Linked DNA regions of Cricetulus griseus. The protein of the gene in region 1 purifies or fractionates together with the protein of each later gene. This does not show direct contact. Links are inferred from orthologs where the notes say so. Each region holds a gene or a part of one and is shown on either strand. Other genes may lie near its edges.

Region 1 (4,184 bases):
CTACCAGTTTTTTAAATTGCAAAATAAAGAGAATAATATATTTCCATACAGGAGGGGTGTAAGGCCCTGGGAGGCAATGCACACAAAATTGAGTAGACAGACAGCAGCATCCTAGAATCAGAGCTCAACTGCTGGCTTTGCTCCCAGACCAGACCCTGTTTGGTGTTAATAGTCTGGCAATCAGGTGATGCTCAAAGTGGAAGATTTTGGGAGAGCAAAGCTCTGCCAGTTACAGTCCACTAGAAGGCCCTCTAAGAAAGCCCCCAACAGCTCTAACTCACTGACAGGCCTCAAGGTCCCAGGCCAAGAACAACCAATTCACAGCTCACTCCAGGCAAGCAGTAGCTGGGGGCAGGAGTTATAAACACAAGGCTTCAACCTTGAAACCTGCTGTTAGCAACTCACTTCCTTTCCTATCTGGGAATATGACCTCAGACAAGGTTCATGGGGGGGGGGGGCGCTGGAGGGTGGGCAAAAATGAGGCTTAAGTCATCGAAGTGCATCAGGAAGGGCCCAACTTTCAGGCCTGTGTACAATGTTCCTCCAATACACAGTAGCAGGCCCTGGGTGTGGATCAGACTGACGACAGGAAGGAACTTGGGTTATCCCTTGAGCCCTTTTAATAGTTACTGGTGTCACTGCTAGACAGGAGGAAGGTCAGGACTATATGGTGCCATTTGTGACAGTATTTCTGGGTCCCCAGAGGCCTGCACAGCAGGTGCCCAATATATACTTGAAAGTGTGTGACTGTCCATGAATTAACACTTTAATCAAGTCACTCTTAAGTGCTGTTTGGCCAAAGCTGCAATCTCACACACTCCATTCCCCAGGCAGGGTTTCCATATGCTTCTAATGCTGCCAAGTTAAGGCTCTGGTGGTTGCCCAATTCTCACACAGTGCTCCTGTCTGCATATTCAGGTCAGCTTGGCACTGATATCTCTCACCTCTGACCTCATCTTAGTTCTCTGGATTTTTTCCCTCTTACCTTTCCCCCATTGCAACTGTACCCTTTACTTCTAGGTAAGCTCTCATGATTCTTTATGCTCTGAGTTCCTTCACTGTGAATACCCTCCTTCCTACCTAGATACTGTCAAGATGCAACATTGCAAAGGCATGGTGAGCAGGGCGGTGGTGGCACACGCCTTTCATCCCAGCACTCGGGAGGCAGAGACAGGCGGATCTCTGTGAGTTGGAGACCAGCCTGGTCTACAAGGGCTAGTTCCAGGACAGGCTCCAAAGCCACAGAGAAACTCTGTCTCAAAAAGCAAAAAAAAAAAAAAAAAAAAAAAAAGCCCCAAAAAGCAAAGGCATGGTGGTGGCACATACCTAATTCCAGCACTTGGGAGGCTGGGGCAGGGTGATCCCTAGAGTTTGAAGCCAGCCTGAGTCACAAAGCAAGACAATGCTCCAAACCAAAAACCTTTAACAACCTTCAGGGCTGGAAAAATACGCCATAATCTGACTCCCAGGTGAAAATTCTAGACTCCTCCCATTTATACCTTCTTTTCCTATTTGGAGGTGTACTGGGGATTGAATCTAAGGCCTCTCCCCTGGTGGGCAAGCATTATAACACTGAGCTATGCCCTGGAACTCATGAAGTCCATACTAGTTCTGAACTCCTGATCTTCCTGCCTCAGCCTCCCAAGTGCTGGGTTTGCAAGTGTAGCCACTATGACCGCCTGAGAAAAGCTGAGAGTTGAATATGGAGAATGCAAGGTACGAGCAATCAATACAGGTCCTCACAAGATGTCGGTGGCCCAATTACAAGGCAGGGATAATATGGTGGCAAATCAACAAAACTGGGTCCAAAACAGCCTCTGACTCTTGCATAAAAGAAGAACCTGGAAAAGTCAAATTCTCGGAACTTCAGGTCCCTTGAATGTAAAATGGGGATGACTGAGAGAGATTAAATGACAATCTACATAAAGTCTCAGCTCCAGGCACAGCACTGTAAGCAGTTAACTGCCACCTTCTAATTATTAAATAACAGGCTCCCTAGTCGGGTGTGATGAGGCACACCTTTGATGCCAGCACTGGAGAGCCAGGGGCAGAGGCAAGTGGAGCTCAGCAAGTTTAAGGCCAGTCTGATCTACTACAATAGGACGTTAGGAGACAACCAAGGCTACCTATAGTGCTACCCTGTCTCAAATAAGTACATAAGCAGACAAGGAAATAAATAGGTTCCCCCAACCAACCGCCTTCCAATTACTTAGGGGCAAAACTAAAGAACCTGCCTTTTAAAGGTTGCACAGGCGACATGCATGGTCTCCCACAAATACTCAGCCTCCAGGTCTCGATTTCAGCTCAGGTCCCAGGACTACCACTTCCTTGGAGGAGCCAACTGTCAAACGCGGTTAAAAAACCAAGCGACATCGCCGAGTCCTACCACTCAGGAGCCGGCCCACCCAACAATCACCTCCTCCCACAGCCCGTAGAAGCTTGCTCACGCCGGGGCCCGGCCCGCGGAGGCTGGACCCCGCCGGGGCTTGCTGCCGGCCGAGCCTCGGTTCCCAGGCCCGGCCAGCGGTCGTCCCTGCCCGAGAGTCAACGGCCTGCGACCCCACGACGCGCCACAGACCCTACTTCCTGTGGGGGCCGGGGCCAGCCTCCCGACTCTGACTCGACCTCCCTCCCCGATCCTCACCATGGCGGCCGCTCCGCCTCACAGGGCCGGGTGCCGCTCCCGGACCCAGTGGGACCAGCGCTGGGGCTGCCGGTGGGTCAGAGGTCAAGGGAGACTGGAGAGCGCGTGCGCGACGACGCGACGACGCGACGACGCGACGCATTTCCAGGGGCGTGACTCTTCCGGTATGTATGTAGGCGGGGCCTGCCTCGGGATCTGAAGACTACTGGGCGGGCGATGGGCGGCTGCAAACCTCCGGTGGCCTTGGAACTGGTGCACCAAGTTGTTTTTTTCCCTTCATCTCCCCCGAAATAGTTAGGAAGGAGCCATCATATGAAATAAGCCAAAGTAATAAAGGGCTGGATGTCAATTTCTCTGGAATACTTAAGAAACTAGGTATTTCAAAATAGGTTTAATTCCAGATTCCTCCTGCTTGTGAAACTACTAGATACCAGATGGGATAGTTTCCACCCACTTCAAGTCTATAATGTAAAGCCTTCTTCTCAGTGAAGTCCATCAAGTCCCCCCACTACACTGATATGCCCACCACGCTGCTGCTTTAGATGGACTGGGGTGTGATGGAGAATGTACTGTGTATGTTCATCTTATTGATTATTGAATAAAGTACTAATTTGGCCATGAAACAGCAAGTTAGACAGGACTAGGAGTCAAAGAGGATTCTGGGAAATGTAGTAGAGAAGTGGTGATCCAGGCAGGATGAGACATAGCAAGGAGACTCATGCAAGCAAAGGAAACAAGAAGCGTCTTCCCTTTCCCCTTCACCTCCTCCAGCGGCGGGATGTGAGCCACCGGCAAGGAGGGACGCCAATAAGGTGTCTGATAAGTCTTATAAAATATATAGATTTATGATAATTAAGACTGAGCTAACAGATGAGAATCCTAGTCACTGGCCAAGCAGCTTTGTACCTAATACAAGTCTCTCTGTGCATTAATTTGGGCCCTAACTCGGGCAGGCGGCTGGCGTAAAGCACACGTGGCGGTGGGGCTCGGGCAGCTTTTGGAGGAAAGATTTATCGTAACAGGGGTGTGTTTTAAAAGATAGTTCTGGAATCCTTTGGGGGGGAGCCTGGGGAGTGGGGTGGCAAGACAGGGTTGCTCTGTGTAGCCCTGGCTAGCCAGTGCTGGAACTCTGTAGACCAGTCTGTCCTTGAACTCACAGATCTGCCTGCCTCTGTCTCTTGAGTGCTGGGATTAAAGGCGTGCACCACTACCACCCTGCACGTTATAGAATCTTTATGTCTCGATGTTGCCAGGTTTGTTTAAGCGTCTCTGATTGGCTTGCAGAGGGTTCTCTTCTCTCCAAGTCTTCACAAGATCTTCTCTGGTCTCTGTGTTTGCGACAGTTCTGTCAAGACACCCATAGTTCACACACTAAACAGTTGGACCTTTTGGAGTGCACAATTCAATTCTGCCTTCACCACCATCCAGTCTAGAACATTTCCTTCCACCCAGCAGTCACTTCCCTACCCTGGAAACTACTCATTTGCATTCTGCCACTATGGTTTGCTCTGGATATCCCATAGAATCAGAGTCACAACTA
Region 2 (4,220 bases), on another chromosome or scaffold:
ACACTTAGGACTGGGGCAGGAGGATGGTCATGAGGTTTAGACCAACCTTGGCTACATAGTAAGATGTCTTAAAAACAAGCCAACCAAAATAGTATTTGTGACCTTCCTTACTGGAAGACATTTTATCAAACACAGAACCTAAAAGCAGTATTAATGTTTATTATTACTGCCAACTCAATGGCTCTTTTGTTCATTAAACCTTTGTTTTGGTGAGACAAGGTATCACTGCAGGGCAGGTTGGTCCCTGAGTACTGCAACTACAGGTGTATGTCACCATATCTGGTGGATTTCACTTATTTAAGACACCTGGGAGACTACTCATCTGTATATTTAGACCAAGAATTAAGTTTCCCCATTAATAGCAGTGTTTAATGAAAATTGCATGGTTACTTACCCTTGTCTGGGTGGTTTAAGAGCATGATCCGTCGGTGAGCATCCCTGATCTTCCCTTTATTGGCAGTAGGGCTAATTTGAAAATGGAAGCATAAATTGAACACATATACACAGCTATGCAGAAGGGCCAGATTTAATACTGTTTATAAACCTCACACAGATGTAAAATGCATTTTCTAAATCAGAACCAGTGCTTAAAACAAAACAGTGCTTAAAAACAAAACTAAATGTAGTTGACCTGACAATCCTTGTTCAACATTTCATTTGCAATTACAGGAAAATACAGGAATTACCTTATCCTTTATCATATTAATAACTAGTAGAAATCTTACCTGACACCTAGTATTAATGCTGCCTCGCGTTTTGTCATTTTGGGTTCAAACCCACCTCTATAGTACCCACCACTGAAGGCCTGAAAGGAAAATTGGATTGGAAGGAAAGATTAGTGAACTAAATGGAAGGTTGGTTAAATCAATTGAAAAAAAAAGTTTCAGAGACCTACAAGTATATTTCCCAAGGTATTTTAGCTTGATGCGTGGTAACTATTATAACAAGTATTAAACATTCATTTCTTCTAGCCAAACTGGAACAAACTGTCTTGCAGATAAAAGACAAGAACAAAATCAGGAGTGAATGGAGACCCTTGTCACCCTTATTCTCATAAAACAGCAGTATCACACCTGATTCAAGGCAGCCCCTAAAAATGAGTTTATGGTAGGTAGTGCAGGGGAAATGAGGGTAGTGAGGTCCACCAGGACCTCAACCTTAGCAGGAAATAATGGACACCAAGGTCTTAATGTTGCTGCCCAAGCTGTCCATGATGTGAGGGGCAGCAGCTGTGTGTGCTGTTTTAATGTAGTTACATTCAACAGCATGGCAATGCCACATATGTCTCATGTGACACAGCAGATCCCAGAAGACAGGTGGTAGACAGATGATAACCCTGTAAAGTCACCCACCCTGCATTGTCACATGTGACAACTGATTGCTAGTGTGGCACCACTACAAAGTTTGCAACTCCTCACTGGACCTGTGGGATTCAGGCTATAGGGCAGTTCCAGTCTTGAGATACAGGCAATACATTTAGCAAAAAAAGTCTTACAGATTTTGGTAGGCTTTGAAAAACTTGTTTTACTTGAGGCTCCACATGCTTCACGGCTTGTAAAACATAACGGCCTAAAACCAAAATCAATACAATAAGCAAATTAATCCATAGCCAGTCTAGTCTTCCACCCCCCCACCCCAAACAAACAAACCTGCAAATCCTGCAGCAGCAATGGTCAGTCCAACCGCTACCACTGTACTGGCCTGGTAAAGGAGGGAAAGAGTAGTAAATCTTAACTTCTCTAACTGCCACCAATTTTCTATCCAAACTCATCACAACCCTGAGCTCATCTCAGTGAAAGGTGGGTTCTTTTTTCCTTTTGGGGGTGGGGGTAAGATCTAGGGTGTTACACATGCAAGGTGCTATACTGGTGGGACTTCTTCCAGCCTTTGTCAAAGTTCCGTTTATATTGAGGCGGTCTTGCTAAATTGTCCAGGCTGGCCATGAATTTGCGATTCTTCTGCCTCAGTGTCCTAAGTAGGTGCACTAAATAGAGTGCAGCGCAGCACCGGGCCTGCTGGAAGAAAATATATAATATATATAATATATATGCCATATATATTATATATATTATATAGTCTTTAAAACTGCATTCTGACGCTGTGCACGATGGTGGGCTTTTAATGTCATTTAATCCCAGCACGTGGGAGGCATTGACAGGTGGATCTCTTGAGTTTCTAGAACAACCAGGGTTATTACATAGTGAGACCCTGTCTCGAAAATTAAAAAAAAAAAACAAAAAACTGCAATTTTGATAACACAATTTACTGTCGGGTGTGGGATTTTCGCTAACAAGGGTAAGTCAACCTCCGCAACAAAAAGGGCGATTTTTCAGACGTCGAAGAGAACTTTTAACCCACAGGCACTAGAACCTCAATAAAGTTTAAACAAGAGCGGTGGAAATAAGATTTCTGCTGAGTTAGGAAAAGGTGTTTGCAAAGGCTCCCTGAAAGATTCTCACAGGGCACTTCCATCACTAAGGATTTGTTGTGGGGGTTAACAGGTCGACCTCCCAGGAGGCGCGAACGTTTCCCTTCAGCGGAGATCGGGGTGTGGGTTGGAGCCCGCGGGAGGCCGGAGCAAAGGTCTGTCTTGGCTTCCGCCCGGCCGGAGCGCCACGTCCGAGCCCGTCAGCGCCGGCCACTCACCATGACTCCGCTCCGCGGCCCGGCAGCGCGCGCTCATCCCAGCGCGAGCCCACCGCCACAGCACGCCTGTGGAGAGCGCAGCGGCCCAGCCAACGCCGCCGCCGGGTCCAGCAGCCAACGCCGCGCAACACGGCAGCAGCGCCGAAAAGCGCCTCAGGAACTGTCGCACAAGGTGCTGCAAAAGGGGCCCAGCAACTCGGGTTGACTCGAAGGTCGGACGTGGGCGGGGCTTGCCGTGCCCTCAACCCTGGGCTTCTGAAGATTTGGAAGTCTAATGCCTGTCCCTAAAATGAGTTTTCAGGCTAAAACATACCGCCTTAATTTTGCTTTATATAGGTTTTTCCGTCCATCCTATAAAAGTAGCGCTGTTTATCAGATGAAGATATTCTCATGATACATTTTGTTTTCTATCCACGTGCTATGTCTCAGTGCATTTTTGGCTACGTAATGTGCTCTGTGGCCAGAGAATATAAAGAAGCCAGGACGCTGATCTTCATGGCCTGCAGAGATACCTTTCTTCTTTTGACATAGAACTTAGGTCTATAAGTAGGTCAAAAATTGTATGGAAAATTAATTTTTCCATCTCCTTTCTTGGTGTCTTCTTTAGGCTACACGAATTTGTTCACTAAAGAACACAACTGCTGTGTGTTCATTGTTTATTTTCTGTATCGTTCTGTTTTAGGCCGTGCTACTACTTTTCTAATTAAAAGAACTGCTGTATCTGCGTTGCCCTGAGCACATGGTTGGTTGGCCAATGTCATGTATGATTTACCCTTGGTTTGCTTTTAGGGGTTTTGTAGTTTTCTGGCTTTGATCCAATGTGAGTTGCTTTTTCTGTTCAGCATTAGGCAAGTGGTTCCATCATTTTGCAAATATTTGAGTAGTGTCCCAAGCATTGCTTGTTGGAACAGTTCCTTTTTAAGTGGTAGAGGTTAGGGTGAGCTTTCGAAAATCACATTGTAGGGGTTTGGCAGTAATGAATAGTTTGTAGGCCATAAGCTCCAAGAAGTTGAGACAGAGGAGGTCATAGCAACAGGATCCAGTGTCAGTGGCCATGTCAGAAGAGACACAGGTGACCATTGATTTCAGTGGATCAGCCCACCAGGAAGCAAAGCTCTGATGGGTGAATCTCGGATAGGTAAGGCCCTGATAGCCTTGGTCCCAGAATGTCTCTTTCTACTGTTGTGTCTTTGCATGTTTGACACTGCCATTTTTTTTCCTGGTATCTGGCATGGTGTGAATGGGTGTGGGGGAATGCACATTATTTTAAGATTATCTTATGGAAATATCCCATTCTCCCAGGCATTTTTACCTGTGAATTATTATGAAGATGATTTCTTCTTAAGATGTACTGTTTAAAGTGTTGCCCCTGCTGTGGAATAATCCTTTTTGTACACTGTGAATATGTATTATTCTCATTGTTAATAAAGTACTGACTGTCCAATAGCTAGACAGGAAGAGGTTAGGCGGTAGAGCATAAGTGAGAGGATGCTGGGAAGAAGAAGGGTAGAGTCAGGAGGAGCTGTCAGCCAGACACAGAGGAAGCAGGAAATTGAACATGCCTTTTGGAAAAA

What was found. Proteins that work in one complex are often made in the same cells at the same time.
Region 2: the proteins of Pam16 (region 1) and Dnajc19 purify together in Homo sapiens (affinity purification with mass spectrometry; 3 studies listed by BioGRID and IntAct, with this or other methods). This does not show direct contact. The link is inferred for Cricetulus griseus from reciprocal best matches to the Homo sapiens genes PAM16 and DNAJC19.

The regions. Positions count from the first base shown.
Region 1 is NC_048600.1:42,041,052-42,045,235, reverse strand, and holds the start of Pam16 (mitochondrial import inner membrane translocase subunit TIM16), read right to left. Parts: upstream 2,801-4,184; 5' UTR 2,787-2,800; coding exon of another isoform or gene 2,648-2,786; coding exon 2,645-2,647; intron 2,342-2,644; exon of another isoform or gene 2,235-2,341; intron 1-2,234. UniProt on the Homo sapiens protein: Regulates ATP-dependent protein translocation into the mitochondrial matrix. Inhibits DNAJC19 stimulation of HSPA9/Mortalin ATPase activity.
Region 2 is NW_023276806.1:115,389,220-115,393,439, reverse strand, and holds the start of Dnajc19 (mitochondrial import inner membrane translocase subunit TIM14), read right to left. Parts: upstream 2,801-4,220; 5' UTR 2,650-2,800; coding exon 2,647-2,649; intron 1,702-2,646; coding exon 1,650-1,701; intron 1,570-1,649; coding exon 1,496-1,569; intron 806-1,495; coding exon 726-805; intron 466-725; coding exon 395-465; intron 1-394. UniProt on the Homo sapiens protein: Mitochondrial co-chaperone which forms a complex with prohibitins to regulate cardiolipin remodeling.